Pelodiscus sinensis: one gene and its partners. The protein of the gene in region 1 interacts with the protein of each later gene in a biochemical or structural test. Links are inferred from orthologs where the notes say so. Each region holds a gene or a part of one and is shown on either strand. Other genes may lie near its edges.

Region 1 (10,233 bases):
AGCAGAGCACCCACAGCTGGAAGCATGTGTTTCTATTGGTGGTGCACATGCACACATGCTTTCATTCACATAACAAAATGTATTCCATGTGTGAATGGAAAAGATTAGCGGGAACACTGCACATCACTCCTGAATTTGGCCCAGTGCCTTCAGGATGGGATTGATGTATGACTGGTGACGAGAAGCACCGCAGAGGAATGTCGCAATTTTTCAGCCTGTAATTTTCCTGTTCGGTCTCCACCGCTATTAATCAGATACCTTTCCCCAACAATGTTTAAGTGCAACACTGATTTTGCTTTGCAGTTTAAGATAGAATGCATTCCTATGGGGATTTTCTGGGGACTGCGCCTCATCCCATTTGAATGTTTGGATTATGTGACCTGTGGCAGGTTTTTCTAAGTTTCAATAAAATGTAACACACACCAAAAAAAACCTTCCAAAACAGAACCAACATTTTCCAAAATGTAAAACATTTTATTTAAAAAAATAATTTACTGCATTTTATATACAGATCACAGACTAACATCCACTCACAAATACTTATGTCTGAACTCTGTGCAAAGGCTGTTTTCTTTATATAGATCAGCACCTACAATGGGAGCAGGAGCAACCATCAAGTAGTCTGGGAAGCAGATGCCCAGCTGAAGAATGGACTGTATAGCCACTGACATAGCTCCTCCTTTATGGCATGTACCACCTCGGAAATATCACTCACCATTACACAAATGGACTTAAGCTCATCAGTCCTACCTGTTCTTAATAGCACTAAAATGCAGCCTTATTTAGCCACTTTAACGAAGGGTAGTAGATTCTGCCACCCTAACAGCAGTGGTACAAACATAAAGAACACTAATCAGAATACTCCCATTTTCTTCTCCAGGCCTACTTAGTTTGAGTCAGGGAGGCAAAACGTGGGTTTCTGTGAACTCTTTTAGCTTTAATATTGTGCAGCCCTTGCCTGTCAGTGTTTGAAACAGGGATAGATGTGTAATGGCTACTTCCTTAAGACTCCAGGACACTTAATAACCTGGTCATGCAACACAGACATGCAGGTACTATGTAAAAGCCCGATTCCACAGCACTAGGTAGCATTGTATGAGTGATTCTGTTTAGGGTTGCCAGGTGTCCGGGTTTTTTTTGCTCAACCAAATGTTTCCTACCATGTTCGGTATTTTTTTTAAACTATCTGGCATCCTTAATTCCATTCAAGTCAAGTACTGGTCAGCGTGACTAAAGATTGCAGAACTAGGCCCCGATGTATGAATAGTCTGTGAGGGTGAAATCAATGGCAGAACTACCATAGACTTCAGTGGGGTTGGGATTTGACCCTGAATCACAAAATATGGAGCTCTAATCCAACACTTTGGCTACGTCTACACTGGCATGAATTTCCGAAAATGCTTTTAACGGAAAAGTTTTCCGTTAAAAGTTTTTGCGGAAAAGTGTCTAGATTGGCAGGACGCTTTTCCGGAAAAGCACTTTTTCCGGAAAAGCGTCCGTGGCCAATCTAGATGCGCTTTTCCACAAAAAAGCCCCGATCGTCATTTTCGCGATCGGGGCTTTTTTGCGGAAAACACTACTGTGCTGTCTACACTGGCCCTTTTCCGGAACTGTTTTCCGGAAAAAGACTTTTGCTCGAACAGGAGCAGCATAGTTTTTCCGGAAAAGCACTGATGATTTTACATTAGATCGTCAGTGCTTTTCCGGAAATTCAAGCGGCTGATTTTCCGGAATAACTTGCCAGTGTAGACACAGCCATCATTTATTGCAGGCCTGTTTTCAGAGGTGCTGAGCAACATCTAAAAGGCTGACTGAGTGCTGAGCCCATCTAAAAATCAGATTGTGAGTGTGTGTGTGTATGTAACAGAGTCTTTCTCTGGAAATTTTATCATGTAAAACTGGGAAACTCCATTCTGTACAAAGCCCTGGCTTCAATCTCCTCCTTTCTCAAAGAAGTGCTTCTCTGATCTGCATATTTCCTAGGGAAAATGTCAGCCCAGAGGTTTATTTTGCAAGGACTGTTTCAAGGACATTGGCCATGCTTTTTTTTCTACTTTACTGTGCAGTGAAATAGTAAAATCACACACACTTCAGAAATGATTTGGCTTTATGAGTTCAGTTTGTACAGGGGCTGAATAAATAAGAGCTATGTTCTAGAATGTGGCTTAGCTGCACTTTTCAACTGCTGAAGCTGTTGCCTGAGCCCAAGTGAAATACACACACAAAACCAGGTGTGTTTGAAAGTCCACAGTATCTTTCCCACCAAATCCCCACATCATATTAATGTTATTGTCCCTTGAAACTCAACTCAGTGCTCAGGAGGCGCATGTGAGGGTGGCCCTGAATGTGATCTCTCAAGAGGCTGTGTGTGACGAAAGAGTCAGTCGCCGGCTGGTTATTTCATACAGCATTTCTGTGATCACCTCAATAATGTCTGCATTGCCAATGATGGGTCGAAAGAAGAGGTCTGTGATAAGTGCAGGAGGAATGGATCTCAAGGTGGAGGCAATCAGCAAGATGCGGGCAAAGCGGCCCTGGTCTTCTGGGTGCAGGGGCACTAGGACTTCTCGGAGCGCTCGCTGTGCTTCCCGTTGGAGGCTCTCGATGTACAGAGAGGCTCTGAGACCTGGGACATCTATGGAAAGAGAAACAACAGGAAATACAAATGAAAATTAGCCTCTGCTTCCCAAGCTATGCCCCAGGCCCAGGCTCTTATCCTGCATGTGCCTCTGCTGAAGGCTTGTTCACCGCTATTGCTAGTGATTCACAATCAAATTTGATTTCTTTCTACTGCCTGCACACCGGCACAGGCAGATAAATAAACATGTTTCCTTACATTTCATAGTATATGAGGATCCCAAAGTACTAGCTATAGATATGCAGCATCTCTGAAACGTAGCCACGTCTGAGGTGGAGAGCAGCAGTTCATTATTAGTGTGTAACACATCAAGGGAGGAAAAATATTGACCAATACAGCTCGGGCAAAATGCAGCTCTAGAAAAACATGCTCTGAGATCCTCTTTTTGCTGAAGGGTATGCAAGACCGCAATTTTAAAATCTGATTAAAATAGTCCCTTCCATCACAATAAACTATATAGGACTTAGTTTATTTGCTTCAAAAAGAGGAAGAACTGAATCAACCCTGGTTAGGGTTTGAGAGACTGCGAAACTAATAAGCCACCCCTATCAGCACAGTTGACTCCAAGGTTTGTGAGTTAAAGCAAGTGACCAACTGGGGCAAGTCACTAACAGCCTGAATTCCAAAAGTCAATGGGAACTGGAGATGCTCAGCACAGCTGAAAATTAGCCCTGAAAATGCTCTGTGCCTCAGTTGGCCTGTCTTTAAAATAGGGATACTACATCCAGCTTAGTAATAGAGATGTAGCCGTGTTAGTCTGGTCTAGCTGAAACAAAAGACAGGACCATGCAGCACTTTAAAGACTAACAAGATGGTTTATTAGGTGATGAGCTTTCATGGGCCAGACCCACTTTCTCAGATCAAATTGTGGAAGAAAATTGGCATGACCATATATACCAAAGGGATACAATCAAAAAAAGCGAACACATATAGAAAGGACAAATCACATTTCAGAACAGAAGGGGGATGAGGGCGGGAGGTTAATGTCTGTGAGCTAATGATATTAGAGGGGATAATTGGGGAAGCTATCTTCGTAATGGGTAAGATAATTAGCATCTTTGTTGAGGCCCAGTCGTAAAGTGTCAAATTTAAGCAACGACTGTTGCTACGCTTCAAAGGCAGAGGCACCCTATCGACTAATTGAACAGTTGATGCAAAAATGCATTGACTGTTCAATTAGTCAATTACCCGATATTTAATATCCTTAGCTTGTAAGAGCTTTGAGCTCCCTGGATGGATGGACAGCTATTCATTGCTAGATACTCTTGTGTGACGTGCCATCTGTCCCTGCCAACAGAAAGGGGTGTGAGGGTTCGGCACTCACCAGGGTTAAAGAGAATGGCTCCTTTCAGATAGGCATACTCCTTAGGGCTCAGGTCCAGGCCCCAGAATGTGTTCAGGCAGCACTGTAGCCTCTTCACGCCAGCTAAGGTGGGCTGTGCCCTCTCAGGCTCCTGTCTCTTCCTTTGGCCATCGAGAAGGATCCTCTTGAGCATGCTCGGGGCTGGGGTTTCCATCACCTCAAAGGTCACCATCTCCTGAACCAGCCCCAGAATAAAGAGTGGAGCCCAGCAGCTGTCCAGAAGCAGCAGCTGGTCCCCCCGAGGCAGCAGCTGGAAGGAGGGAAGGTTCTTCATGAAGCTGACTGTTTTCACAAGGACATCTGAGGCTGCCTGGCAGGTGAGCTGAGGTGTCCGGAGGCTGACGGTGCGACGCTTCTGGCACAGGCAGCGCTGCTGGGATGGGCTGTGGCTGCCCCAGTTGTGGTTCAGGTTCTGGCTCAAGAGGGCGTAGAGGATGGCATTTTGGTTCTCCTCACTGTGGCACTGGCATTTCTCATAGTCCAGATCCATGCTGCATGTAGTCATTGCTGAGCCTGGCCAGTGGATCCCGTCAGGTCCCAAGGAGGATGAGACTCTTGTGCACCTGGCTGGGTGGATCTGTGAGCACGCCTGGTCCCTTGCAAAGGCTGCTGTATCAGTCAAAGCTCTCTGACTGCAGCCTGCTGCTCCCAGGTCGGTCACCTCTCTTATACCTTTGGCTGTTATTCCTGGCTCTATTTATAAGACTCTAAGTGAAACACCCCCTTAGCAGCCTTGACCTCTCTTTAACTAAGCACCGTTCATTGAAAAACAACTCAACTCAGTACTGATTGGCTGGGGAAGTGGAGCTTCCACTGGTGCAGATAAAGGTTTTCTCAATGAAAGTGCCAGTTAGGGCCAGGAGGATGGGATGGGATGGCAGATTGAGTGGCTTTCTTATCTGGATTACCCAACAGTATAAACAAAGTCATTAACCCAGCCCGTACCATGGCACCAAGGCCCCAGGTGTGTAATCATGCAATGCTATATGACAGGTGTCATTGCCAAAGAGTTCACACACACACACAGACCTTGTCTGGAGCAAGAGACCAGTAGCAAAACAGCCTGTAAACTCTGGCCTTGGAAAGAGCAACCTGGAAGTCATTTTATCAGCAGGTTGTTTGTTTAACCTTGTTGACAACAGGCTGCTGTTGTTGCAGATAAAGAAAAAAAAAACCTAATGAACTACAAAGGGCAGCAGATGGAGGCTGGGGCCTCAAGTATCTTGTGTGTTTTAGGGAGGGGGGAAACACGGACGTATGGGGCCTTTTTACTTTTTGCCTTGTTTCCTAGGAGATTTCATCAGTTTTATAGACAGGTTAGATGCATCATACTGTTCATACATGGATGTTTATGTCTTCATGCTTCAAGGAGTGTCGTGACTCAGAGGAACTTCTAGGGCAGGAAGAAGTCACTTAGTTGAAACCCCTACCCCTCCAGGATCATGGAGCCTGATTCTAAAGAACAGGCAGGAAGGAAGAGCCAGGCTGTCTGGAAGGCAAGTTAATGAGTGGGAGGAAAGCAGGTGGCAAGAGGGCTGTGTCTAGACTGGCCAGTTTTTCCGGAAAATCAGCCGCTTTTCTGGAAAAACTTGCCAGCCGTCTACACTGGCCGCTTGAATTTCTGCAACAGCACTGACTTCCTACTGTAAGAAATCAGTGCTTCTTGCGGAAATACTATGCGACTCCCGTTCAGGCAAAAGTCCTTTTGCGCAAAAGTATTGCGCAAAAGGGCCAGTATAGACAGCTCAGATTTGTTTTCCACAAAAAAGCCCCGATCATGAAAATGGCGATCGGGGCTTTTTTGCGGAAAAATGCGTCTAGATTGGCACGGACGCTTTTCTGCAAAAAGTGCTTTTGCGGAAAAGCATCCATGCCAATCTAGATGCTCTTTTCTGAAAATGCTTTTAACTGAAAACTTTTCCGTTAAAAACATTTCCGGAAAATCATGCCAGTCTAGACGTAGCCTACATGTTTAGAAAGAAGCAGAAAACATCAACGAACCCAGTGTAGCGCCAAGTGGAACTTTCAGTCACTAGAAGTTCCCAGTGGAGATCACCCAACTATGGAAAGTCTTAGGAAAATACTAGCTTCCAGATCCCTTCTCCCAGTAGTTAACAGTGTAATTTTAGTAATGTGAATAGGTTCATCTAAATAGGTTACTGGTCTCTCTGCATGATATTGACCAGGGAGGGTTACTAACAGCAGCAGCATGGAAAGGGTTAAGAATCATTGCCTTAAATGACTATGGTGAGCGCATTTGACCCTTGAGGTGGGTGCCTCCGCTGGGGCCCGTGTGCTGCCGCTGGTGTTTTCCACAGTGATTCTGGAGGACAGGATGTTCCCTCCTGCCCGCCGCAGGCAGGCTCTGCCCCAGCCATCTGGGTGCCCATAAGCGGCAGAGAGCCAGCTTCCCCGGTGTGGTTGGGATGCCCGGGGTTGCACGCGGGCGGCGCCGAGGGCGACTGAGAAGCCCTGGTGCCACGCCTGGCCACCCTGCCCAAGAGGCCTGGCAGGACGCCTGGTGCCCCTCCCCCCACAGCCTTCCCTTGGCAGAGGCCCCCCCCAAGAATATGGGCTCCCACGAGGGTCCCCCCCTTTTGATCACTGAGGCACGTGGTTCCTGCCCTTTGACCCCTCCGAGGCATCGCGCCCTTTGACCCCAATATAGGCCTCCCCCCCCCCAACCCGTCCTAGGGCTCCCACCCCACGTGGATATGCCCCATAACACCTGACCTTTGACTCCCTACCCACTCGGGGCCACGCGGCCTCGCCGATTTTTCTGGAAGGCCCCGGACGCGGCCGGTCACCATAGAAACCAACGCCACGCGCGGAACCCGGCGTGGAACTCCCGCCTCCTTTCCGATGACAGGACGCGGCTCCAGCCAATCAGCGAGCGGGGAGGGGGCCGTGGGGCGCGAGGATTGGCTGGCGGGCGGTGGCTGGGTTTCCGGTTCCGGTGTGAGGGTCTGAGGCCGCGGGAGCAGCGGTGGCGGCGGGCAAGGATGGGGCCGAGTGCGGAGGCGGCGGAGCAGGAGGAGCGTTTCGACGGGATGCTCCTGGCCATGGCCCAGCAGCACCAGGGCGGCGTGCGGGAGGTAACGCCCGGCCGCCCCCCCCGCTCTGTGGCGGGCCTGCGTGGGGGGGGGGCTGTTAACGCCCGCTCCCGGCCGCCCCCCCCCCGCTCTGTGCCGGGCCTGCGTGGGGGGGGGGCTGGTGGCGGCCGCTCCCGGCCGCCCCCCCCCCGCTCTGTGGCGGGCCTGCGTGGGGGGGGGCTGGTAACGCCCGCTCCCGGCCGTCCCCCCCCTTGCTCTGTGCCGGGCCTGCGTGGGCCTGGGGGGGCTCTGAGACACCGCCAGCGCCTGGGCGCGTGCTCTGGGGCGGGCTGCAGCAAACTGCCCCCCCCCCCCCGCTCCCTGACCAAGGGAAGCAGCTGGCAACGTCCCGCACGTGAGGATGTAAAACCCCATGTAATTGGCTAACGTTGTGTTTAAACGGTTAACCGGCAGTGGGGGTGGGGGCGCTCCAGCTCCTCTGCCGCCAACAGGGGCTGCTCTGGCCAGGCCTGGGTGCCCCTGTGGCATGTCCAGGGTGGGCTCTCTGTCGCTGGGCTGCTCCTGCTGGGTAGGAGCACTCCCCACCCGTGCTGGGCTCCTTGGGACGGAGCAGCCCCTGCCTGTAGTGGGCAAGGAACAGCTCCGGCCCCCACTAATGAATTGATTAACCATTCTCATTCCCTTGTCCCGTATGAGTTGGGGGACGTGGTTCACCCCTTCCTCCCATCCTCTCTAAAGGATGCCTGAGGGGTGGGAGGCTCAGTGTTGTGGCAATCCTGGACAGGGCAAATGCCCCCAGCCAGCCTCTTTCACTTTTCTGGTGATTTGTCTCTTTTCTGTATGTTTTTATGAGATGCTACCCCATTCCAGGCCCATCCCATTTTCCTGGCACAACCAAACTTTTACTGTGCTTTAAGTTATGATATGAGGAAGCCGTATACCAAATTTGGTAGTCCTAGCTCTTACCGTTTAGGAGGAGTTCTGAGACAGACACATACTCTCAATATATAGTTGATTGATATGGTGCTGTTAACCTACATGAACCCTTATAGACAGTCAAGATGAACAAATCCACACTGGTGTTACTTTTTATATTACATCCCCTTTTTGTTGAAATTGTAATATAAAAATGTAATATAAATGTAATATAAAAAATACTGAGTATCCGTATTAGAGAGACAAGTTGGGTGAGGTAATCTCTTCTTGGACAAACTTCTTTTAGTGAGAGAGAAGCAGCTTTGGAGCCATACTCTTTTACAAGTCCAGGAATGATTCTAAGAGTCCACTAAAAGCTATCAGCACACCTGCTTTGTCTCTGTAATGCTCTAATGACTATCCCAGCTACAACTGCATTACATATATTAGTACCTATATGCAGGGCTTGACAATTAACATAATCTACTCGCCACAGCACGGCCGCACAGCACGGTCAGCACATGGTCTGCATGTGCAGCGCACAGCTGGTGAGCGAGGCTCGCCGCCACTTGGCAAGCCCGTCCTATATGGCTGATTTATGTTTGTCACTCATGTCATTGAGTCCTATCCTTGATATGCTGTACCCATAAGAATGACCACCCTGAGTCAGGATACTAGGCTAAAGGAACCGTAGCTCCATCTTCTAACAGTGACTGGTGCCAGGTACTTCAAAGGGAGTGATTAGAACAAGGCAACTTACCAAGTGATCCATCTCCTGTCATCCAATCTCAGCTTCTAGCATTGCAACCATGATGCAAGCAAAATTGTTTAAACACTAGCAGTTTCTTGGCCACTATAGATAGATTTTGTTACTGGCACTCGTCTCAAAGTGTTGCAAGGACTTACGTTATGTTTCAAATGACCTAGGAAAATAAATAGGATGGTTGGGTTACTGTGGCTTTCTGGATCAAGTACCTGCCTACATCAGTCAGGGAAACAGTAGTAACAACATGCAACTGACGAAGTGGGTCTTTGCCCATGAAAGCTTGTGCCCAAATCAAATTTGTTAGTCTTTAAGGTGTCCTAGGACTCCTAAGAGATACTATGTATCAGAAGAGTTACTGGGTTAGTCCGTAACAGCAGCACTGACATAGCACAGCTTCCAGCTAGGATGTAAACTATGTTTAAAAAAAATTAACTGTGTAATCGATAGAAAGTCCATCGGTTATAGTTACAATTAAACGGGCTCCCCAGGCTGCTGGCACCACAAGCTCCAGGCTGCCTGCTGCCCACTCCTGCTCCCTAGCAGAGTTTAAATGGTAACATGAACCAATAAGCATGAGCTTATCGGTTAATTGTTTAAACTCTTACCTAGCTCCAGCTGAGGTGCGGGCAGCGATTTAGTCTCAGTGCGTACTAGTTGCTTTTCCTCTCCCACCTCCCAGGAATTTTCAACTAGAAATAGATATGTTTCAGCATGGCAATCTAGTCTGCTTCTCCATCAAATGTTTGATTGAAGCAATTCCCTTTTGCTTCCCATGCTTCTGGACCATTTGCAAAATGCTATTCTTTAGCTGTGCCATAATTAGAGCAGCTACTTGTCTCTGCTTCTGTTGAGTCCTAGTGAAAATTAATCTTAAAATAGACCAAAGCAGTCCAACACCACATTTATCTTTTCCTTGGATATTGAGAGCATTGCTTGGTTGATGGCCTGAAAGTGAGGATACTTAAGAGTTCTCTCATCCAGCAGATTGAACAATTTTTTAAATAAAAAATGTGATACTGAGATACTAAGTTTAGGAACAGGTGATAAGGGATTGTAACAACTCAGATCTCCAGACTTTACTTGCAGCTGTGCAAAAGCCTGGCTTTACTAAACCAGTGTGGTAGATACTAAGTCCCTAGTTTGCATTGTTGGCCATTGTGAATTACAGAATTTTACAGATAAACCAAGAAAACCGAAGTCTAGGATACTGAATTACAGGTGCTTTACTTCTTATTTTAGTATTATTATAATATAGTCAACTTATAATTCTTCATATTTAAGTGTGTTGTGATCTAATTTTTTTTTATAAAAGAGACTTGATAACATAAGGTCTCCTACAGCTACTACAGTGTTGCTCAGAGCTGAGGAATGACTTAGTACATGCAAGAAAAATACTGGGTTATCATATAAGCAAAAGACCTAAGATTATGAGAGATGAACATTTAAAAAAATATCCTCACATAGGCATTTTAAAGTTTTAATTCTAGAAACCCACACT
Region 2 (9,840 bases), on another chromosome or scaffold:
TCCCAACCTGCAGCCCCTGCCAGCCCAGCCCTGCCCCCCAGCCCTGCCAGTGCCCCTCACTCCCGACCTGCAGCCCCTGCCAGCCCAGCCCTGCCCCCCCAGCCCTGCCAGCGCCCCCCACTCCCAACCTGCAGCCCCTGCCAGCCCAGCCCTGCCCCCCCAGCCCTGCCAGTGCCCCTCACTCCCGACCTGCAGCCCCTGCCAGCCCAGCCCTGCCCCCCAGCCCTGCCAGTGCCCCCCACTCCCAACCTGCAGCCCCTGCCCCCCAGACCTGCCCCTCAGCTCTGCCAGGGCCCCTCACTCCCGACCTGCAGCCCCTGCCAGCCCAGCCCTGCCCCCCAGCCCTGCCAGTGCCCCTCACTCCCGACCTGCAGCCCCTGCCCCCCAGCCCTGCCCCCCAGCTCTGCCAGGGCCCCTCACTCCCGACCTGCAGCCCCTGCCAGCCCAGCCCTGCCTCCCCAGCCCTGCCAGTGCCCCCCACTCCCAACCTGCAGCCCCTCACTCCCAACCCTCTTCCCCTGCCAGCCCAGCTCTGCCCCCCAGCTCTGCCAGTGCCCCCCACTCCCAACCCTCTTCCCCTGCCAGCCCAGCTCTGCCCCCCAGCTCTGCCGGCACCCCTCACGCCCGACCTGCCAAACCTGGCCCCTGGCAGGGCCCCTGGGGAGCAGAGCAGGCAGGTTTGGGCACCTCAGAGTAGCTCAGACTCCTGGATTCTACTCCCTGCTGCTCGGGGGTGAGACGGGCACCAGGGAAGTGGTGCTGGTGCTGGGCAGAGCAGCTAATACCCAGTTCCCTTGGATTGGTGCCTCCTCCCATAGGACTATGGGACCGTAGTGCTACCAGCCTAGTGCAGGGCCCCCACAGGGATGGGGCCTCACTGTGGCCTGTGGAACTCCTTGCTGCTGGACAGCAGGAATGGCAGAGGCCTTGCTGTGCTCAGCTCCGAACGCCTGCCTACCTCAGCACACCCCGATGCAGGGGGAGGGTTTTACTGTGAGCAGCAGCCAGATGTACCCTGTCTGCCCCTTTAAGATCGGCTGGCACCCCCCTCTTCCCCGACTCTCGGCCTGAAAGCCAACGTGGTATTTCTCAGCTGTCAGATCCGATTAGCTCCCTCGGGCGCCCGATGGGCCGTGCAGCCAGAGAACGAGAAATGAGAACGGGGGTGGGGGAGGACGTGCTCAGGGGCAATGGGCCTGGGAGACTCACTGTGGGGTCGGGGGGGGCACCCCCTCTCCCTGAGAAGAGAGGCAGCTCGGCAGGGGCTGGCCCAGCTTTGGGAGGGAGGACAGGCGGGGGGGCAGGTAACCTCATTTCTCTGTGCTGTGGGGACACAGCCAATGGGGGAACCACAGCAAAGCCTCCACCCCCATGACAGCAAGGTTATTTCCCTCCTTACATGTGGGGAAACTGAGGCACAGAACAGCGATTCGCCCAGCACCATGCAGCGAGTCCAGGGCAGAGCTGGGAATAGAACCCAGGCATCCTGACTCCCAGCTCCCACCCCCCGCTTTAACAGGCCCCACCCCCCAGCCCCCACAAATCTAATCGAGTCCTCCTGCCCCCACCCTGACTGCTGCAGATCGTACCAGAGGGTTGAGGGGGAAGAAAGAGAAGCAGGGGTTGCAGGTCGGGACCGAGGGGCACCAGGACTGGGTATGCTGGGACAGAGCCAGGGGGCACTTTCAGGAGACCCCCCTTGCAGGCTGTTGGCAGGTTTGTGCTTCCAGACCAGGCCCCTATGCTGCCATGGGGAGGGGTGGCAGCCAGGCAGATCGACCCTGCCAGACAGATGGCACTCCCTCTAGCAGCCTCGCCAAGGATCTCAAAGCCGTTCTCCCAATTGCCCATTAAACAGCTGGGGAAACTGAGGCACAGAAAGGGGCAAAAAGAGAACCCCCAGCTCACACAAGGAGCCACTGGCTGAAGAGTCCTGGCTCCCAGCCCCCTCTAACCACTAGACCCCCACTGCCCTCCTCCCCTGAAACTGGCTGGCATCCTCATTCCCAGCTCTGATCAAATTAAAGTCTTGGCAGAAGATGCTCCTGCCCCACCCCGAAAACTGATCAAACCCCCCCTTCGTACTTAGCCCAGCCAGGAGGGGGCTGTTGAGCTGTGGCCAGCACCCCCACCCCAGTCCTGTCAGCCCATGGAGGGTGCTAGCCCCCAGATGGCTGGGTAGGGTCCCCCGCATTGCGTGCTACCCCCAGGCTCCCCAGCCAGCCAGCCCTGCCGCAGGAGGGAGAGATGGGGTCGGAGCCTTGGGTGGGCGAGAAGCATTGGCCGGTGCCAGCCCTGAGCCCCCCTTGGCGCACCGGGCGGCTGTGGCACGCCTCCCCGTCCCCCTGCACGCTCTAATTGATGGAAATGCAGGACTCACCCATCTGCATGACCTACATTCGCTCGGCAGCCTGCGGAGCCGCGAGATAATTACACGGGAGCGGGGGGGGGGGGGGGGAGATCCCACAACTGACAGCCAGGGAGCTGGGAGGCTGCACGTCAAGCACAGCAACCTCCCCCCACCAAATGGGGGGGACCTCCAGGTGCTCCCCAGCCGCACCCAGTGCTGCACCCCGACCCGAGGCCTGGTCCCTGGGGCGTGAGACGTCTGTCCTCAGGTGGGCATCACAGGGCAGAGATGGCAGCAGGCACCCAGCCCCCCACCTGCCTCAGCTGGCTGCCCAGCCCAGGCCTCTCTGAGACCCAGCCCCAGGTGCGCGCACAGCAGCTGGCAACTCCTGGCAGGGCACCCAGGGCACAGATCCCTTCAGAGCAGGTGCTAGCGGATCCCCAGTCCTGTCGGCAGGCCGGGGGGCTGCGGCGGGTAGACATGGGCCAGAGAAACACACCGGTGGCTGCTGGACAGGATGCAACTGGAGTCAGGACTCCTGGGCTGTTTCCAGTCCCTTCAGGGACTGGCTGCGTAATCTGAGGCAAGTCCACGCTGCCCCCTGCCTCAGTTTCCCCATGCGGAACACTGAAGCAATGCCCCCTCTCTTTGTAAAACCTGGCAGGGGACAAACTCATCCGCCCCTTGCCAAGGGCTTGGGCCACAAGCAGACCCCCAGCCCTGGGAGCAGCAGCCATGCAACTAGCGAACAGTCAGTCAGTCTCGTTCCCTGGCCAGACGTCCTCTGACACAGACCAGAGCCTGCGGCCCGACTCCCCCCCGCTGGGCGTCTGTGCCGGGGACCCCGAAAACTGGCCCTGGCCACGTCTCACCAGCCCCCTTCTACTTGCTCCATGGTCAGAGCCCAGCCGCCGCCATCGGAATCTGCCAGCTTCCCGGCCCAGCGCTGGATTCCACAACACCCGACAGCGAGCAAGGCACGGAGCTGCTCCCTGCTGCACACCAGGCCTGCGCGGGCACCACCCCGGCAGGATCGGGGCCGGCCTGGCTCCCCGGCCGGGGGCAGCGCACTGAGGCCTTGGCACACAGATCGGGGCAGTTTTCTTCCAGGCGGGTTTGATCCCTTTTCTTGCCCAGAAAAACCTATTTGGGCTCTTTGAACGAATGGGAAAATTCCCCCCCCCCCCCCCCGTAGAACTACCCACTTCCCAGGTCAAGCCTTCCAGATTTTGCAGCAAACATCCTCCATTAAACTGGGGAAACTGAGGCACAGAGAGAAACCCCCCTCCCCCAGCTCACACAAGGAGTCACTGGCCGAAATGCAGCCACCTCTGGGAGTGGGGGCAGGCGGGTCTTTACACGCATTGGCGAGACTGATGCAAGTGGCCCCAGCGCTGGGCTCAGCTCGGAGCAGGAAGCTCAGCTGCCCAAACAGGGCATGGGGGGGCGGGGGGGGGGCAGATCCAGCTGTGACTAACATCCCTCGGCTCCAGGGCTCTGTCCCTGCCTTTCATGTCTCCCCCGCAGGGCTGGGCACAGGCCTGGAGAGACCCAGGACTTGGGGAAAGTTCCCAGCAGCTCGTGCTCCGGCTCGGCAGCCAGGCCCCGCTCTGCCCGGGCCCTCGGCGGGTCCGCTCCCCCCCGAAGCCCTTCCCCATGGGGAGCCAAGGCCGCCTCCCAGCCCGGCCGCCGGCTCGCCCCAGCCTCGCCCACTTCCCCTTCCCCGCGGCTGCACTTTGCAACTCGCTGCACGCCAGGGAGTCTGCACCGCGCCGGGGGGGCGGGGGGGGCAGGGACAAGGCCCCCCCAGGGACAAACCCAGCCTGGGGGGGGCACTGTCCGAACCCCCCCGTGCACGGCTCAGGGGCGCCGCAGCAGCTGCCCCAGCGCGGCCAGGCTGGGGGTGCCCCGGGGGGCGCAGCAGGGCGCCCCGCCCGCGCGGATCTGGTGGCGCATTTGCACGGGAGGGGGCAGGGGCCGCTCTTACCTGGCGGAGCGCGGGGCCGGGCCGGGGGCCGGGGGAAGCCCTGCAAAGCGGCAGCCAGGATTCCCCTGCTGCCGGGGGAGGGTGAGCACCGTCTGCAGCTGCAACAGGAGCCCGGCCGCGCCCGGTCCTAGCGCCCGCCCGGCTCCGCGCCGCCCTAGCACAGCGGGGGCCTTGCGGCCAAGCGCGCTCGGTGCACGCGGACCGGGGGGGGGGGGGGCTCCCGTGCAGTCCTGGGCCCCACCCGGCTCGGGGCCTTTCGGGTGCTAAAGAAGCCAAACCAACCCCCCCCTTCTTCCCCTGTTTCCAGCCCGTTCCCGCCCCCTCTCCGCCCGTGGGGTGGCTCCTGGGGGCCCAGCATGTTCCCAAGCTGGCTGCCCCAAGTGTGGGGGGGCAGGGGGGAGGTGGGTTTTACTGGCACTTCAGCGGGTTTCATGCCACAACTACTCGCAGGGAAGTTTCCCTAAAACGCTTCTGCTCCGAGCCAGCCCCCGGCCGCCCCACCCTGGACCCTGCGCGGCAGGGTGCTTGGGAGGGACGGAGCAAAGGCCTCCCCTTGGGCTGCCGGCCCGGTGCTTTCCCTCACTTCACTGGCCCGGCAATTGTCCTGGAGCACCGCGGATGCTGCTGCCAGGAATCAAACCCGCCGGAAATGACAGGACAGCCCAAAGGGTGGTGAGAATCCCCTGGAGCTGCAGGCCACCCATCCCGGCTTGGGGCCGTGGCCCTGCTCAGACAAAGGCATCACTGGGAGGGGGGGCGGTTCTCGCTCCTTCCGCTGCCCAAAGCGCGCTGCCAACCACGCCACCGGTCCCGCAAACGGCTGCAGGCCAGCTCCCGGTGCCCAGGCTGCTAAGCTGCACAGCTCCACCCTAAGCACAAGGATCTTGGGCCAGCTGCTGTACTGCAGCCACCTCTGGGGCGGAACAGAGTCAGCGTGCGGCCGCCAGGCGCGCAGGAAGGGTGCGTGGGACTCAGAGTGTCATGACCCAAATGGGACTGGGCCCCAGGCCTCAGCAGTAACACCCTGACTCCTGGGACTCTCCAGACGCAACCGGACAGGTTGAACCGGTTCAGGGGCATTGTTAGCAGGATTCCAACCCTGGCCAAAGGGCAGCAGGTAGCACAGGCTGTGCCCGCACCCTGCGAGGGGCCTGGGTTCTAGTCCCACTGGAGAGGGGTGCTCTGTGGCCAGGCCGGAAGGGGGCACCCCTCGACACTCCCTGGCACCCAGCCTGGTGTCACGCTGGAGTGCCTGTCCCCCAGCGGCATTGCCAAGCAGGGCCGGTGCCTAACAAGCAGGGATGGGGGGTGGAAGAGGCCTAGAGGAGATGGTGGGGCCCCCTCATTAGAAATCGCTGATGAGGGTTTTGTGGGAAATGGCTGAGAGATCAAAGCAGCCTCGCCTGATTCAGACCCAATTAGCGCCTGTAAAACACAAAGGGAGGTCTAGTGCCAGGGCGCAGCCCGCTGCTGTGTGAAGCTAGGCCCAGGGCCCTGCGTAGGCACCGCAGATCTGGCCTTTGCCTACAGCCAGCCATTGTCTGGGAGAAAAGGGGCCAGCAGCTCTGTGCTCCAGGCCAAGGCGGGACCAAGTCCAACCACAGGGCCAGACTCGCTGCTTTTCTAGAGCATCCCTCCTGTGGCAGGGCCAACCCGCACTGCCCTGCCCAGCCAGAGCCTCCCCTCTCCACGAGCCAGCGGCAGTACAGGGGCTATGCCACTGTGAGGTAGTGGGGGTAACTTGCTGGGGCTGGGGCGACCTCTGCTGTCTGTAGCAAGACCCAGCAGGGAAGGGGGGAGTCATTATGCAAAGGTGGCTCCAAACTGGTCTGACCAGCCACCCCCCATGGGGAGAAACAAAGGAAGGTGGATGCTGCCCTGGCTGGGGGCAGGGCTGGAGGAGAGGTGGTTAGTTCCTGTCTGGAAAGCAGGGGAGAAGGAGCTGGGGAGGGGGCTGGGACTCCCCCATCTCAAGGGGGGCACTGAGGCCTCTTAGCCCCAGTTCCTGTAACCAGATGACATCTGTGCTGTGCTGTATCCTGGAGAAGCAATAAACTACCTCCATTCTACTGGCTGGGGGAGTCTGTTCGTGCCATTTGGGGGTGCAGGAGACGGGGGACCCCAGCACACCGTCACAGCCACATAGCAGGACAGCTCAGATTCTGGCTGGCAGAGGGATGTGAGCCCCCTGAGGACAATTGATTCAAATGGCTGGGACCACTTTGCACCCAGACAGGCAGCAGCGGGGCCTGCTGAGAGGCATGACTGAGGCTGGGCCCTAGATCCAGTCTGGATTCCTGCCTCTGCACTTTGCCAGCCCAAGGCAGGGGGCAAGCAGCAGGTGAGCAGCCCCGTATTCCTCCCCAGACAGTCTCTGCCTCCCAGTTCCTTTCCCCTGAGTAGCTTCAAACCCAGCACAGGGCCTTGCAGCCTGGCCCCTGGACTGTGGGGCCAGCCCCTATGAGTGCCAGGCCTCTGCCCTTCCCTGGCCTTCCCTGGGGAGAGCGAGCAAGCAAAGAGGCAGCTGTGTTGGTGGTAGTGGAGGCGTGGCGTCTTGCTCCCAGGGGCAGCTGACAGGTGCAGGCCTGCTCTGGAAGAGCCTAGCTCTAGCCTTGAAGCATAACAGCAGCAAAGTCCTTGCTCAAGGGGATTGCAGCCTGCCTGTTGAAGGCCAGATCATACTGGGCTTTAATCGCCATGCAAAGGGTTTGATCCTGGCCCCATTCCCTCCATGAGGCCAACACAGATCTGATGGCACCTGGGCACCACCCCCTGTGCAGCCTGACGGGAACTATCGGAGGTGGTAAGGCGCTGTTGCCTCTTCTGAGAGCAGTCATGCCCCAGAGTCCCGCAAGCGCCCTTCCCGCTAGGGGAAAGCGCGCTGGAGCCTTCTCTAGCCCTGGGTAGCAACCAGCCGTGACAGCAGAGGATGCGGAGCGAGTCTCTGATCCTACTGGGAGGCTGCAGCAGGGGTGGTTAAAAATAAATCTGCTTTCAGCTTGCCAGCGCAGCAAAGCAGCCCTGGGCGCTGTGGAGGGCAAGGAAATAGCAGCCCACAAGGCTGTATCCGTGATAGAGGCTCTGGCTGACCCCTTCTCCCTGCCAGCATCTTGGAAAATGTGCTAATAGTTCAGCCCGGCTGGCACTGGACCCAGCCCAGGCGGTAGCTGGAGGAACAACTCTCTCAAGGGTTCAGCAGCCAGCAAAATGGAATTTAAATCAAGGCTCCCATCTGTTCTTGAGCCTGCCTCGTATTAGGTCACAGCTCATCTTCCCCAGCAGCCCATTAACTCTTTGACCACTGGCTTTGTGCACAGGGGTGACAGCTAGGTAGGCGCCAGCCCCACAAGAGAAAGTAGCTGTCTGTATGCCCCTCCCCCCCAGCAATCTGAGCGGGGAGTACAGCAGAGCCAGGTGAACAGGGCTCCTGCATTTACTCAACTTCTGGGCCCCTGCCCTCTCTGCCTTCACCTGGGACAGCGAAGGCTAATGCCTAGGCTAAGTCAGCCGTGCCACGCATGCGCTGTAGCACGTGGCTAGATGAGTTCCCATAGCCAGGAAGCTGGGTTGCTTGTGCAGCTGCACAGATAGCAGGCTTTAGAGACGTTATTTAGAGATTATTCCACATGCCGCATTGGCCACGCAAGGGGCAGGAACTCACCCCTCTCGGTGGTGGGTGTGGAGAATCCGAGTTCACCCCCTGGCTTGTGACAACCTGCCGTTATAAATCAATGATGGAGATTCCATAACCTCCCTAGGCAATTTATTCCAGGGCTTAACCTCTCTGCCAGGTAGGAAAAACTTCCTAATGTCCGAACTCAACCCCCCTTGCACGATTTTAAGCCCACCCCTTGTAGTACCTTTTAGATATTTGAACGTTGTTACATGAGCTGCAGAGAATGTAGTCATGTCTCTGCAGCAGGGGAAGATAGGCGGAAGGACCTGTCAAGCTGGTCAGAGAGCACCACACGTCAGAGAGAGAGAGAGGACTTTAATATCTATTTACATCATAGGTTCCCAACCTGTAAATACAGCTGAGTCTGCCTCGCAGTGGAGGTATGTCCTTGCACTTGCCTTTCGGAACAGACCTCCTGCCGTCCAAGGGCAGCTCTAACCTAGGAGCCATGGGAGGAGAGAGAAGTTAAGGACATAACAGATGCCAAGCATTCACTGCATTGGCCCACATCTTAGTCTTTGCTACATTCTCACAGAAGGGTCATTAAAACTGATCACACTTGGTGCAGACCCCCAAGTCGTTTTCAACCCGGAAAGGCAACTTTTTCATTTAAAAATAGATTGAAGAAGGGGTGGCCCTGGATCCCCACACTGGCTGGCCTCACACACGCAAGGCGGCTTCCTCCAACTTCCGCAAACTTGGTCCCTGCAAGAGCCGCAGGGTTCACGGTGCTACAGGAGCGCCCCCTGCTGGAGGAAGCTTGCTTCAAGGGCAGCTGCATCCTCATCTCTCAAGAGGGTTACTCCTCCCGGATAAAAAGCAGGGTAGAATCAAAGAGTAGAATCCAATTGAAACCCAAAGCAGAGGGAGGTGAGGAACCGCAGGCCAGGCGGCATCATAGGGCAGATGTCCTGTTCAGTTCTAGCGTGCAGGAACGGGGAGAGGAAGCCCAGCCTTTCGGAGGAGGCCTAACTCCTCCAGAATGCCACCGACAAATAGGAATAAATAGATCCACTGCTTGCAAGGTAAGAGACACAGATCTTAGGGCTTCATGCGAACCCCTGATCGAGCCCCAGAGACAATAAGCCTCACTAAGAGCGACATCTGCTCCGCGGAAATAACCAGACTTCAAAGGCGCTCAGGCTGGGAGTGCAGCGCCTGCCATCTCATTTCCTCCTGCAGCCGCTCATGCTGCTAATGGTTTCGTTTCTCCAGCCTCTTGCTGCCTGAGCACCATCTCTTTGATCTCCAGCTGTTTAAAAACGGCAACATGACAGCGTACGTGCAGGTTGCGAGGAAAGGAGGGCAGGCCGGCCAGCCAGCCTCCAGGAGGAGCAGGATAGGGCCCGCAGCCGTTCGCAAACCACTCGCAATCCACCACAAGGAGGGTGAAGTGGGCTATGGCCCAGGCACAGGGCGTTAGCCACCGCAGCCGGCGGCACGTTTAAAAACAAATATACAGCTAAAAACAAAGACGAGGCCGCTTTCGAAGATGCCGAGACGTGAGGGCAGATCAAATTCATCCTTTTCAACGCTCCGCTGCCTGGCTCAGCGTGACCTTCAGCGAAGGTGGTTACCGCGGACAACGGAGCCCAGGCCGTTGTTTCGCTGAGCTACAGAGACAGCCACATCCTTTTGAAGAGAGGCATCCAGGTAGAGGAGGCTAGAGCCGCCCCCCGGCCAGGATGTTTCCAACCAAGACGCCGTCCTTAAGGGCATGTTCCACATCCCTCTCCTCTATCTTCAGTGAAACCTGGAGGAGACACGAGGCCCCTTATGACACAGCCCAGCCCAACGTGAGGAGTAGCCCATGAGCACAGCCCAGGC
Region 3 (10,083 bases), on another chromosome or scaffold:
TGAAGGCTGCTGAGAAATGTGTTAATAAATTCATTCTTTCTTATTCTTGCAATGGGGCAAAAAGAGCATCCCAAATGTCAAGGGTCACTATCCTTTATAATATTCTGTAAAATGACTTTATCATATTTAATCACACTGGTGAAAAAATAGGATTTAATAGCATATTTTCACTGTATTTTATGTGCTATAGAATACCGGCTTATATAGCTTTAAGAAATGTTGCCATACTGTAGTTGCTGTATACTCTCAGCAAAGTATGGTTCAAGTATTGTTAAATATAATCATAGACAAGTTACCTTCTGTATTTGATGAATAGCACAATGTATTTGAAATTAATTGCAAAAGTAGGGCTTGGCTAATGAGGCAGTCCTTATCTTTTCTCAGCAGTGCAAGCACAAGTATTTTTCTGCTGGCTCAATATTTTCTTTTAAATGCCCAAAGTGCTATTAGCTAAGTTGAAATCTGATTAAAACAACAAAACCAGCACCTGAACTGTCACAACAGTCTAACGCAGCTCCAGGAAGTAAAGGCTAGCCCTACGCTTTGTTGTTGGCATGTGTTTTTGAAAATAATAATTAAATAATTGCTATTGCTTCTCTCTATTGCTTCCACTCCCATTAGCATTTTTGAAAACACTTTGCCAAGAGTGGAGGTGTTCTTTAGTGGAGAATTATAGGTCCAGAGCTTTCTATATGTCTGAGCTTTAGAGAAACAAATCTATAAAAGGTTTAGGGCTTTATATAGGGCTCTTCAAAAAAAAAAAAAAGGACACCATGCCATGAAAGAAAAAAAAAGAGTAGAAAAAATTATCAGCCATTCAAGAGAATTAATGGATATCCACAAGGGCTTTGCTAATAACATGGGTTAATTACCACTGCAACGCACCAGGCTCAGTAAATAAAAGAGCACAACCATAAACACATTAAAATGAGCAACCATCACTAAAAGAGGGGCCAGCCTCAGTAAATGGAAAGCTGTCAAAGAGCCATTTCAAAGCAAGCCCTTTACACTTTCTGCAGGATTTGAAAACTTGCCAAAAAAAAGTCTATGAAAAACAAAAACAAAACTTAAAAAAGAAAAAAAAACAGACACAGGGAGGAAGGCCCTCTTGCTGTCCAAGGAGAGACCATACAAGGAATCTATTCATTCAAACACACTTTGAGGCTTATTTCATAGCAGAAAGGTTGGTTCTACATTTTGTGCTTGGCAGGGGAACTTAGACCTTATTGGTTTGGGACCAGAATGCTAACTGCTTGCTTTATTTTTTAAAAGGGTCAAGATAACACACACCTGTAATATGTGAGGTTCAAACCTCCACGTCAAAGAAAGCAACTGTAGAGTGAAGTCAGTTGTCACTTCCCACTAACTGGTAAAGCAATGTTCTATAAGCCCACCTTTTCTCCACCTTCATAGATTGCTTTTTTTTCCAGATCAAATTATTTGTAACTAAGAGCTATATCAAAATATTTTGATAGGGGAAGAATGAAACTAAGACAAATTCCCTCTCTCATTATATATAAGTAAACATACAAACAATACCAAGATTAGGGCATGATATTGTTTAAAAAATAATATGAAATATATGTACACTGTCATCGCATCAAAGTATTTTTTCTACTGTATGTAACTCCATTATAGGTCCATTTCTTTATCTAAATTTCACTTATCTTATTTGAGTTTTCCTGTCATAATCTGTGCATTTTATTTCTCATACTATAGATCAAATACAAATGCATGCAACATTGTAACAGGAACATTTGTTTCTTTTTCATTAAATTCTTTTGCATATTTTTTGAATGGGGAAAGTAGGGAAGGGGTCGAGGGGTTCAAATTCATGAAACAAATAGAATGAAGCACAAAGGGCAAATGTACACACTGCACAGAAGCTATCTGCAGTCACAAATCTATTCAGTTTTCTATGTTTGGCATTCAGAGATCATGTTTAAATTTACTAAACTAGTTCCTCCCCCTCCTCCCCTTCTTTGGAGTATTTCAATTGCCTTTCCTTCTTCCAACAGCTGTGACAACTGTTAAAACAGTCAGTAAAATTAAGTCAGCTCTATAATCCTGTAGTCAATGTTACATTTTAATCAGAGGTTGAAGGAGATTTCATGTTATGAGCACGATTCATTTAGAATGATTAAACTGACACATATGTCAAAATGAGCAGATATATTTATTGCATCTGTTAGGTTATTAACTATTATTATTAAATATTAGAATTATTGTTACTTTTGTAAAGCAAAAACCAAGGCTGTAAATGGCTGTAAGTGATTGCATTCTTTAACATGCTCTGCCTTAAAAAATCAAAGCATACCTAGCGACGGTCAGGCAGATGTCCCAAAATGTTCTGTCAATTTTTAGCTGGGATCCTCCTCTACGCAATAATTAACTGTAGAAATTATCCACTTCTGGAAATGCTTCATTCACTTATATAGCATTCTCTGTAGGTCCTTATGCATATGGACATGACAGCTTACAGACAAAATGCAATTACTATGAATATTGATAGTTTTGGTGTTTATTAATTGAGACAGAGTCACAGATGTGTTTCTGAATATTAGATATTTCTGTCTGTCCACTCAACCACGCACCCAACACAGCCTACATCCGGAAAGTAAATTGGATTGTTTTAAGAAGACTTTTAGTTGAGCCAAAGGGGGGGGGGGGGAGGAGAATTAGTTTAAATCTTGCACCAGAGCCAAAAAGACATGTGCCCTGATTTCATTTAAATGCATCTACTTTAAGAGGCTTATCTAAACTAATCATTCAAATTAGCTGTAAGAAGGTAAATTCAGGAAAGCTCCTTTCAAAGAGAACCTCTTCCTACCTTTAATTTTTTTTAAACCCTTATTTTCTAGGGAAAAATTAAAATATTAAGTGAAAGCTGTGAACATTGCATTTATTCATATGTGAAGACAATTTACTGCAGTTCATGGAGCACTGACCTATAAACCATATCTTAGTGGGCAACCTATCTTTGTTTATTTTCATCTCTTTACCCCTTCAGTTTTAAAGGGGGTTCTTCCCTCTCTTACTTCAAACTGTTTTCCTAATGGCAAGTCTATTTCCTGCTGTTCTCTTTAACTCCTATGTTATATCACAAACATACAGTCACTGTAAGTCACTTTCCATCTCTGGCTTAATTACAAATAGCTATGCAATATGCAGACACTAAGGACAGCTAGTGGGCATCTACCTATAATACACTGTCACCTCTCTATACAGCCTCCCTACCCAGTGCATCTAGGGATGTACTTACTATTAGCATTTTTCTTCAGTATTACAACATTCATTGCTAGTGTAATAGGAAAGCCCAGCAAAATAACTGGCTCGACATAAAGAAAAATGAATCAATGACAGCTCCCATGATATACTAATATTTAATCCTGACTATAGGTTGAAATCAAGTTTATGAGCCACTCATCACCACTAGCATGCTGGATTTTGTTTGGGTTTTCTGCTTTTGATCTCAGAGAGTCCAAGTATTTATACCTGCATATATACAAAACTAGGTAGTTAATAGGTACAGCTGAAACAACTATATAAAATCATATATTAAAAAAGTAGTTTATTGTCTTTTGCAGGGACAAACCAACACAATGAAACAAGCTACAGGCTAATGGGAACAAATGTACTTCATTATATCAGTTCTCTATTAAAGTACAAAATATTAAAGTCAGTTTGGTTCTTTTCTTCCTTAATATTTTCTTCTCCTTTATTAAAAAGCACAGAATTCCCTTGTTATTCAGTAGACTGATATGTCAGTGAAGAAGTGCTGGTTGAACAGCATTTTAGACCTGAATTGCAGAAGGCTAATTGTGAATATTCATCCTTAAAGAGGTATTAGCAGTTATTTTCCCGGCTAACTCTGCACAGTCAAAAATGACAGGGAGACCAGAATATCTATCAAACCGCATATACACAAGAAAGGCACTAGTGTAAATCATTTGTATAATACATTATTTTAAATCCTTTCCCTGGGAAAATGTGTCCTACTGCAAGGCATGTTTTAACAATTCACTAAGCATTTGTGCCAAGTGCCTATTATTAGTACCTGAATAAGAAGTGACTGTCACACAGCTGTTTTACTGACAGTCACAGGGCTTTGACTCAAAGGTAACATTGTAGTCAGAGAACAATTCTCCACTTACTGAATTAGCAGATCATCCTCAGCACAAAAAAGACAAGACAGACACAAATAACCGTTCATGCACACACAAGCCACACAGCACTACCTGAATCAATGTTTACATTATTTTCATTAAAAAAAAAGGTTAAAAAAAGAAAGGAAGAAAGATACCTACTCTTCTTCGTAGTGAAGGGAAAAAGATTCAGGAAGACAAAGTTCTACCGAATCCATGTGCGCTCGGCAACCATTATTTGTGCACCCCAGCAATAAATCAAAGTTTCCTTGACAGAGCACAGTGCAATTAACACAAATGTTCTCCTGGTGACAAGCCTATAGGCACAGCCAGTTGGGACCAAAAGCTCTCACAGTCTCCTAATCAAGGACTTAAAGCCCCGATTGGAGCTTATTAATATGAAGTAGGGCTTTACATATGCAGTCCCACTGGCCCAGACAGATACTGGATTGGTAGCACATTAGCCAATCAGATGTGAGGAGAACAGAGACTGCACAGATTGAGAAAAGCCAGGCAGGTACAGAGGGGTGGAGAAACTGAAAGAGACTGAAAACAGAGTAGGGACTTAATAAAAAGAAATGTAAATGTTACCAATATTTTTCTAAGGGGCTACAAAGAAAACCTAATTAGCATAACTCTCTAGGCACTAGATGTTTTCTGTAACTTAAAACACTATTAGTCAAGTACCTTGAATGGAAGAAATACATGCAGACTCTCAGTTAATGTTGTGAAGAATTCATCATAAGGTAGAGAACTAAGTTTGTGCTGCTATTGTCTGTTTATTCCATTGTTGTTATTTGGGAGGATTTTGCTTGGGGGAGGGGAAGAGGGTTTAAGTGTTTTTGCTTTTTTCATGCAAAAATGATTTTTTTATCTTCTAAATTTTCTGGTATGTACTAAGAAACTAAGCTCAAAATTAACTGTTCTAAAGATCTGCATTGTCATTTTAACTGTAAGTTTGTGTTGTCAGTTTTATTTAAAAAAAGAATATTTAGAACTGAAAATCGATACCAACTTAACAGAAAAACTAATATTTTAAAAATGCATTTGTTTCAACAGCACAGATGCACGCATTGTTATGAGCACATATGTGTACACATACATATATCAGATCCATGTTAATATGGCATACTTAACACATTAGCCATAAATGCACATATCTGCATGTTCATAAACAGAAGGGAAAGCTCCAGCACTGACTAATTTCTTCTGTAACTGTGGAGGGATTATAATGGACTCAACTCAGTCTGTTTCATTTTAATAAGATCAGACTACATTGTGGTATGTCTGAATGAATACCCCTGCAGTTTTTTAATTTACTGTTTAAAGAAAATTTTAACAAACTGGAAGTAAATATATCAAATCCATTACTTGTATATATGCCTACATAATCATCTTTGAACCCAATTGCTCCAAACCACTGGCTTTTATAATTCACACTGATATACCTTATTAAATAAAATTCATTGAATAAACCAATTTTAAGAAAGTGATCATACGCAAAATCAGACACAGTTTACACTGAAAACACCAATTTTAAAAGGGGGTATGATACATTTCCCTCAAAATCTACAGCTTATTATTAACATTACAACTAAAATATACATTTTCTGGTAGCAGAGAAAGAATTTTTTCTACCAAGTTGCGGTGGAAATAAATATCAGCTATTTATGACAAGGAGATAACTGCTACCTTCTTAAGAGTGGAGGACCCACAATTTTTTATAATTCAGCTCTAGTGAGCACAAATCTTTTGTGACTGGAGCCCTACATGATGCAAATGACAATCTTTCAAGATCAAAACAAATCAGTGCAACCCTCAGAATGCATTAATACCATTCACAAATGGGAATACAAATGTCTTCTTCAAATCTATTACACAGCTTTTGGGGAAAAGAAACCCCAGAAATTAATTGAAAAAAAATGAAATGGACATGTTTAAAGCTCTTTATGTTAGACAGTGATTTCCAGTGTAATGTATTCAACCAGATGCAAAGGATAGGCCTGTTCCTTACATATTAAGCATTAATACATGCAAGTTTAAGGATCAGAACCAACACAGCAAAACTATAGCTCTAACTACTGAATAAAAGCAGGTAGTAAAAGCTTAATTACCAGTAGCATTATGCTGTCTATATTGTTAAATGTGAACTCTGTAATTAAGATGTAAATTTGGTTGTGAGAAGTGCATTAGAAGAGCTCTGAGATGTAAAGCCCAAGCATCCTTTAGACACACCATACAGACAAAAAAAAAGATTAGTTTTTAATCAAACCTTAAAACAAGATACATTTAATCATTTTACGGAATTAAAAACCCTTCCTTAAAAAAATACAGAGAAAAAGAAATGCTGTGGTTGTGGGAATCAGATCAACACTTGAAAATTAAATATTTATTCTATACTTGATTTCTTGATTTCCATATAAATCCAAAGTAAAAATCCCACTAACTGGTTTATTCATGCACATCTCCAGCAACATATAAACTAATAAACATCTTTAGTTTAAATGTATAACTTTAAATAGATATACATACTCTTAAAATAGCTATTTTCTAACTATACGGACATTAGGGCTTGAAATTCCTTCAGACTCTGTACCTGTGTGTTTTTTATTAAAAAATGATCCGTGTTGGAGATACACACACCCACACATGAGTCATTTGATACAGGTCATTTTTAAATCATTATTTCCTAGAACATATATAATTTGAAATAGGATTATTAAGCCATTTAAAACCTTATCAAACCAAAATTTACCTCATGTTTACTTTTGTTCATTATCTTTTAGACTGTATATTTATACTCAGCTGCTGAAAATCTGACAGTCTATTGCCTTCTCTTGTGGTCTGTCTTCCATCCTTTTCGTGTCCACATAGTTTTCACTACCCCTTAGCTTTCCCTCCCTATCCAATCTTTCTCTCCCCCTATTAACCATCACTATCTTTCCACCAACCATCTTTCATCCAGGCAAGCAGCTGCCTTCACTGCTGTGCTGCTCCTTAGATGACCAGAAACACAGTGCTATACTTTATGTGTTGATAAACAAAGCAGTTGGATTCCTCCGCTGGGACTGAAAGTGTCACCTCTACCAGACCAGGGTCTGGAATTCCAACTAGTTCCACTACTGAAATTCATCTACAGTTTTGAACATGGGTTTCCCAGTTACTGTTCAGCGCTTTTTTTTTTTAAAGCTTCTACAGCAGATAACTGTAGTAAAAGTTCTCAATAAACCTTCTTGTGCCACATTTTAAATAAATAAAAAGCCCTGGGGAGAACATAAAATCAAGGTAGATTTTGGTTTATAGAACTTCCGTAAAGGATATGGATTAAAAATGCACATGTACACACACACAAAAAATCTTACCATGAAGAGTATACAAAACATAGTAGAAATGGAACCAAAAAAAAGGGTATGTGTGTGTGGGGATTGGGGGGAAGGAAACAGTCACAAGTGTCCGCAGCAGTCAATGAGAATTACTGTGCAGTGTCTGCATCTCCACACATCTCCATGCATATAATTACCAAATGTAAGAACAGTACATCTTTAAGCATCTTCACACTTAAATGCAATCGACATTTCAAGGCATCCAAGGAGCCAGATTCCTAAATCACATCTACCTCAAGGCAACCGAAGAAGTGAAGATTCAGTGGCACTTTACAGAAGCAGCATAGTATATTATGACAAGAACATATTTGCTTAAAAGAGACCAAAATACATTTGGGAAGGGGTCAAAAACATTATTAATTCCAGCGTCTGCTCAGAGATTATTTATTTTTAAATAAATACTTTTTCTGAACCTATTATATTTAAGAAGGCTGTTTCCCACCTCAGCAAAACCTACATATGGGCTATGAGATTTTCAATAAAGTTTTAATTAAATGTTGGAGTATCACTCGTTGTTTGAGAGGAACTATGAGAGGACCAAATTAATGTTTATTTGCCACTCTGCCAGGTAACTAGGTGAGCTAGTGTCAAATAAAAAACACAATTTAAATTTGTTTCATGCTATTCATGCTAATTTCATTAAAATTGCTCTGCTGCTGTCTCCTTCCTCCTAGACACATAACTGGTTTGGTTTTGGAGTTTGCCTTTAGTGCTTCTTATTAGAAGGGATGCAGTGAATCTATGGGCACACTGTTAATGTAGAGAAAAATCTTTTCACTAAAATGAGTTGCAAATTTTGTTCACCTGTTTTTAAATGGTTAGGCAAATGGTAGCAGGTAACTACTTTAGAACCATCTGCTTCTTCGATCTGTATTTAGTATTAATCACTCCCTGCTTTGATCCTACACAAAAAAAAAACCCAACACTACCTCAACATGTTCTTTAGAACTTCATCACAAAACAGGAATTGTTCTACACACAAAGCTGAGGGCTGTTTGTTAGTTTAAAAATTCGGTTTTAGCAGATGACATATCTTCTCTAAGAAATCACAGCAAACACTTTGCCATATTATCAAAGTATATTCAAGTCACCTGATCTTAGCAATACACTCCATATTTTCTATTTCCTTTATTTTCAAGAACACAGACGTTAATTTTTAAATAACTGCCTTCACTGCTACAGAATAGAACCTTTTCCTACTGTTGTAAGTGAAAATTGTTCTGCTGAATAAAAAACACCCTTTACAGAGCCTTAAAAAAAGTGCCTACCCATTGCCCAACACTCAAAAAAAGGCTATTCTCATTAGAGAGAAATGAAGTGTCCACTCCAATATTGATATTTTTCGATTACACCGGGCTCTTACCCTAGTGTAAGTTTCTTCAGAGAAGCAGTAATGTGTTACTGTCTCAGACAGCCAAGGATAAAATGACTGAGGGAATTCAGTTGCTCTGTTTAATTAATACAGGATTATTTCACTTTCATTTTGTGAAGCTAATAATATGACTGGTGGAATGTCAGTAAAAATTAAATCATAAACTAGTGCAGTACCAAAGGGAAAACTTACTTTAGTTACAGAGTATTCCCAGCAGAAATCTTGAAAATCTTATACATATTTACACTGATAAAATACCGCATGTACTTCATGGGACACTGCAAGCTTTCAGCAATCCTTATGTCACGTATTTACAGAGCAAGAGTTAACATTTTGAGATTATACATTAATAAATGAGTTGCAGTTATATTGTTTCCTGAATGTTAAGCACCACATGTTAAATGCAGAAACACATTCAAGGTCAATGTCCTATTTTAGACCTTTTCAGCAGATGTGGTATTATGATAATCACACTTAAAATATTCCTATAGAAAGAGTAAATTAGCCCTTTTCACTAGAAAGATGATTATGATAAACAATAAATCTGAGAGAGGACAAATTCATATTGCTTTTTTCTAAAGCAATGAATTGCTGTTCTTTATTGTGATAGTGGCATTTTCATGCAAGAATTAAAAAAAGAAGGGCCCACATTATTCTGCTTTTGAATTCCCTTTTATTTGTCGAACGTTTTATATCTGAGAAAACACTTTTTTCCACAAAAATATGTTTTCCCTCAGAACAAAACAACAAGAAAAGAAATTCTGTCTTTCCTTCTCCTCTGCAACCTTCATGAAATATAGTATCCCACAAAACAAGGAGGCAACGAAGAAAAACTTAGCATCAAAGGCCATTCCTAAGTGAGATTAGGGTTTCAGTTCAGACTAATTGAGGTGCAAGATCTGATGGGTTGGCAGTGGGGGGTGGGTTTTTTTCTGGTCTACCACCTGATTGGAAGCTCCGGGAGCTAAAAATAGAAAAGAAGATGGAGTGCAAATATTTCCACAGTAAAAACACCAATAATCTTTACCGTGAGCTGACATGAATTGCTTGTTACAACTGCCCTAGGATATCATGGCTTGAAGTGACTGTGTGCGCGCACACACACACACAAGCTACTAACCATCCTCAAAGCTATTGTAATATGTGTTTGTGCATGTGCATGTTGCAGGTGTCCCTATGAAAT

Evidence for each region.
Region 2: the proteins of NR0B2 (region 1) and RARA form a complex in vitro, tested with the Homo sapiens proteins (2 studies listed by BioGRID). The link is inferred for Pelodiscus sinensis from reciprocal best matches to the Homo sapiens genes NR0B2 and RARA.
Region 3: the proteins of NR0B2 (region 1) and ESRRG form a complex in vitro, tested with the Homo sapiens proteins (2 studies listed by BioGRID). The link is inferred for Pelodiscus sinensis from reciprocal best matches to the Homo sapiens genes NR0B2 and ESRRG.

Annotation. Positions count from the first base shown.
Region 1 is NC_134735.1:2,376,829-2,387,061, forward strand, and holds NR0B2 (nuclear receptor subfamily 0 group B member 2), read right to left. Parts: upstream 4,716-10,233; 5' UTR 4,507-4,715; coding exon 3,963-4,506; intron 2,636-3,962; coding exon 2,355-2,635; 3' UTR 454-2,354; downstream 1-453. Other genes in the region: nuclear migration protein nudC, read left to right, coding at 7,004-7,096. UniProt on the Homo sapiens protein: Transcriptional regulator that acts as a negative regulator of receptor-dependent signaling pathways. Specifically inhibits transactivation of the nuclear receptor with which it interacts.
Region 2 is NC_134739.1:10,842,452-10,852,291, forward strand, and holds the start of RARA (retinoic acid receptor alpha), read right to left. Parts: upstream 4,443-9,840; 5' UTR 4,338-4,442; intron 1-4,337. Other genes in the region: CDC6 (cell division control protein 6 homolog), read right to left, coding at 9,677-9,766. UniProt on the Homo sapiens protein: Receptor for retinoic acid. Retinoic acid receptors bind as heterodimers to their target response elements in response to their ligands, all-trans or 9-cis retinoic acid, and regulate gene expression in various biological processes.
Region 3 is NC_134713.1:150,704,463-150,714,545, forward strand, and holds the start of ESRRG (estrogen-related receptor gamma), read right to left. Parts: upstream 4,522-10,083; 5' UTR 4,364-4,521; coding exon 4,308-4,363; intron 1-4,307. UniProt on the Homo sapiens protein: Orphan receptor that acts as a transcription activator in the absence of bound ligand. Binds specifically to an estrogen response element and activates reporter genes controlled by estrogen response elements.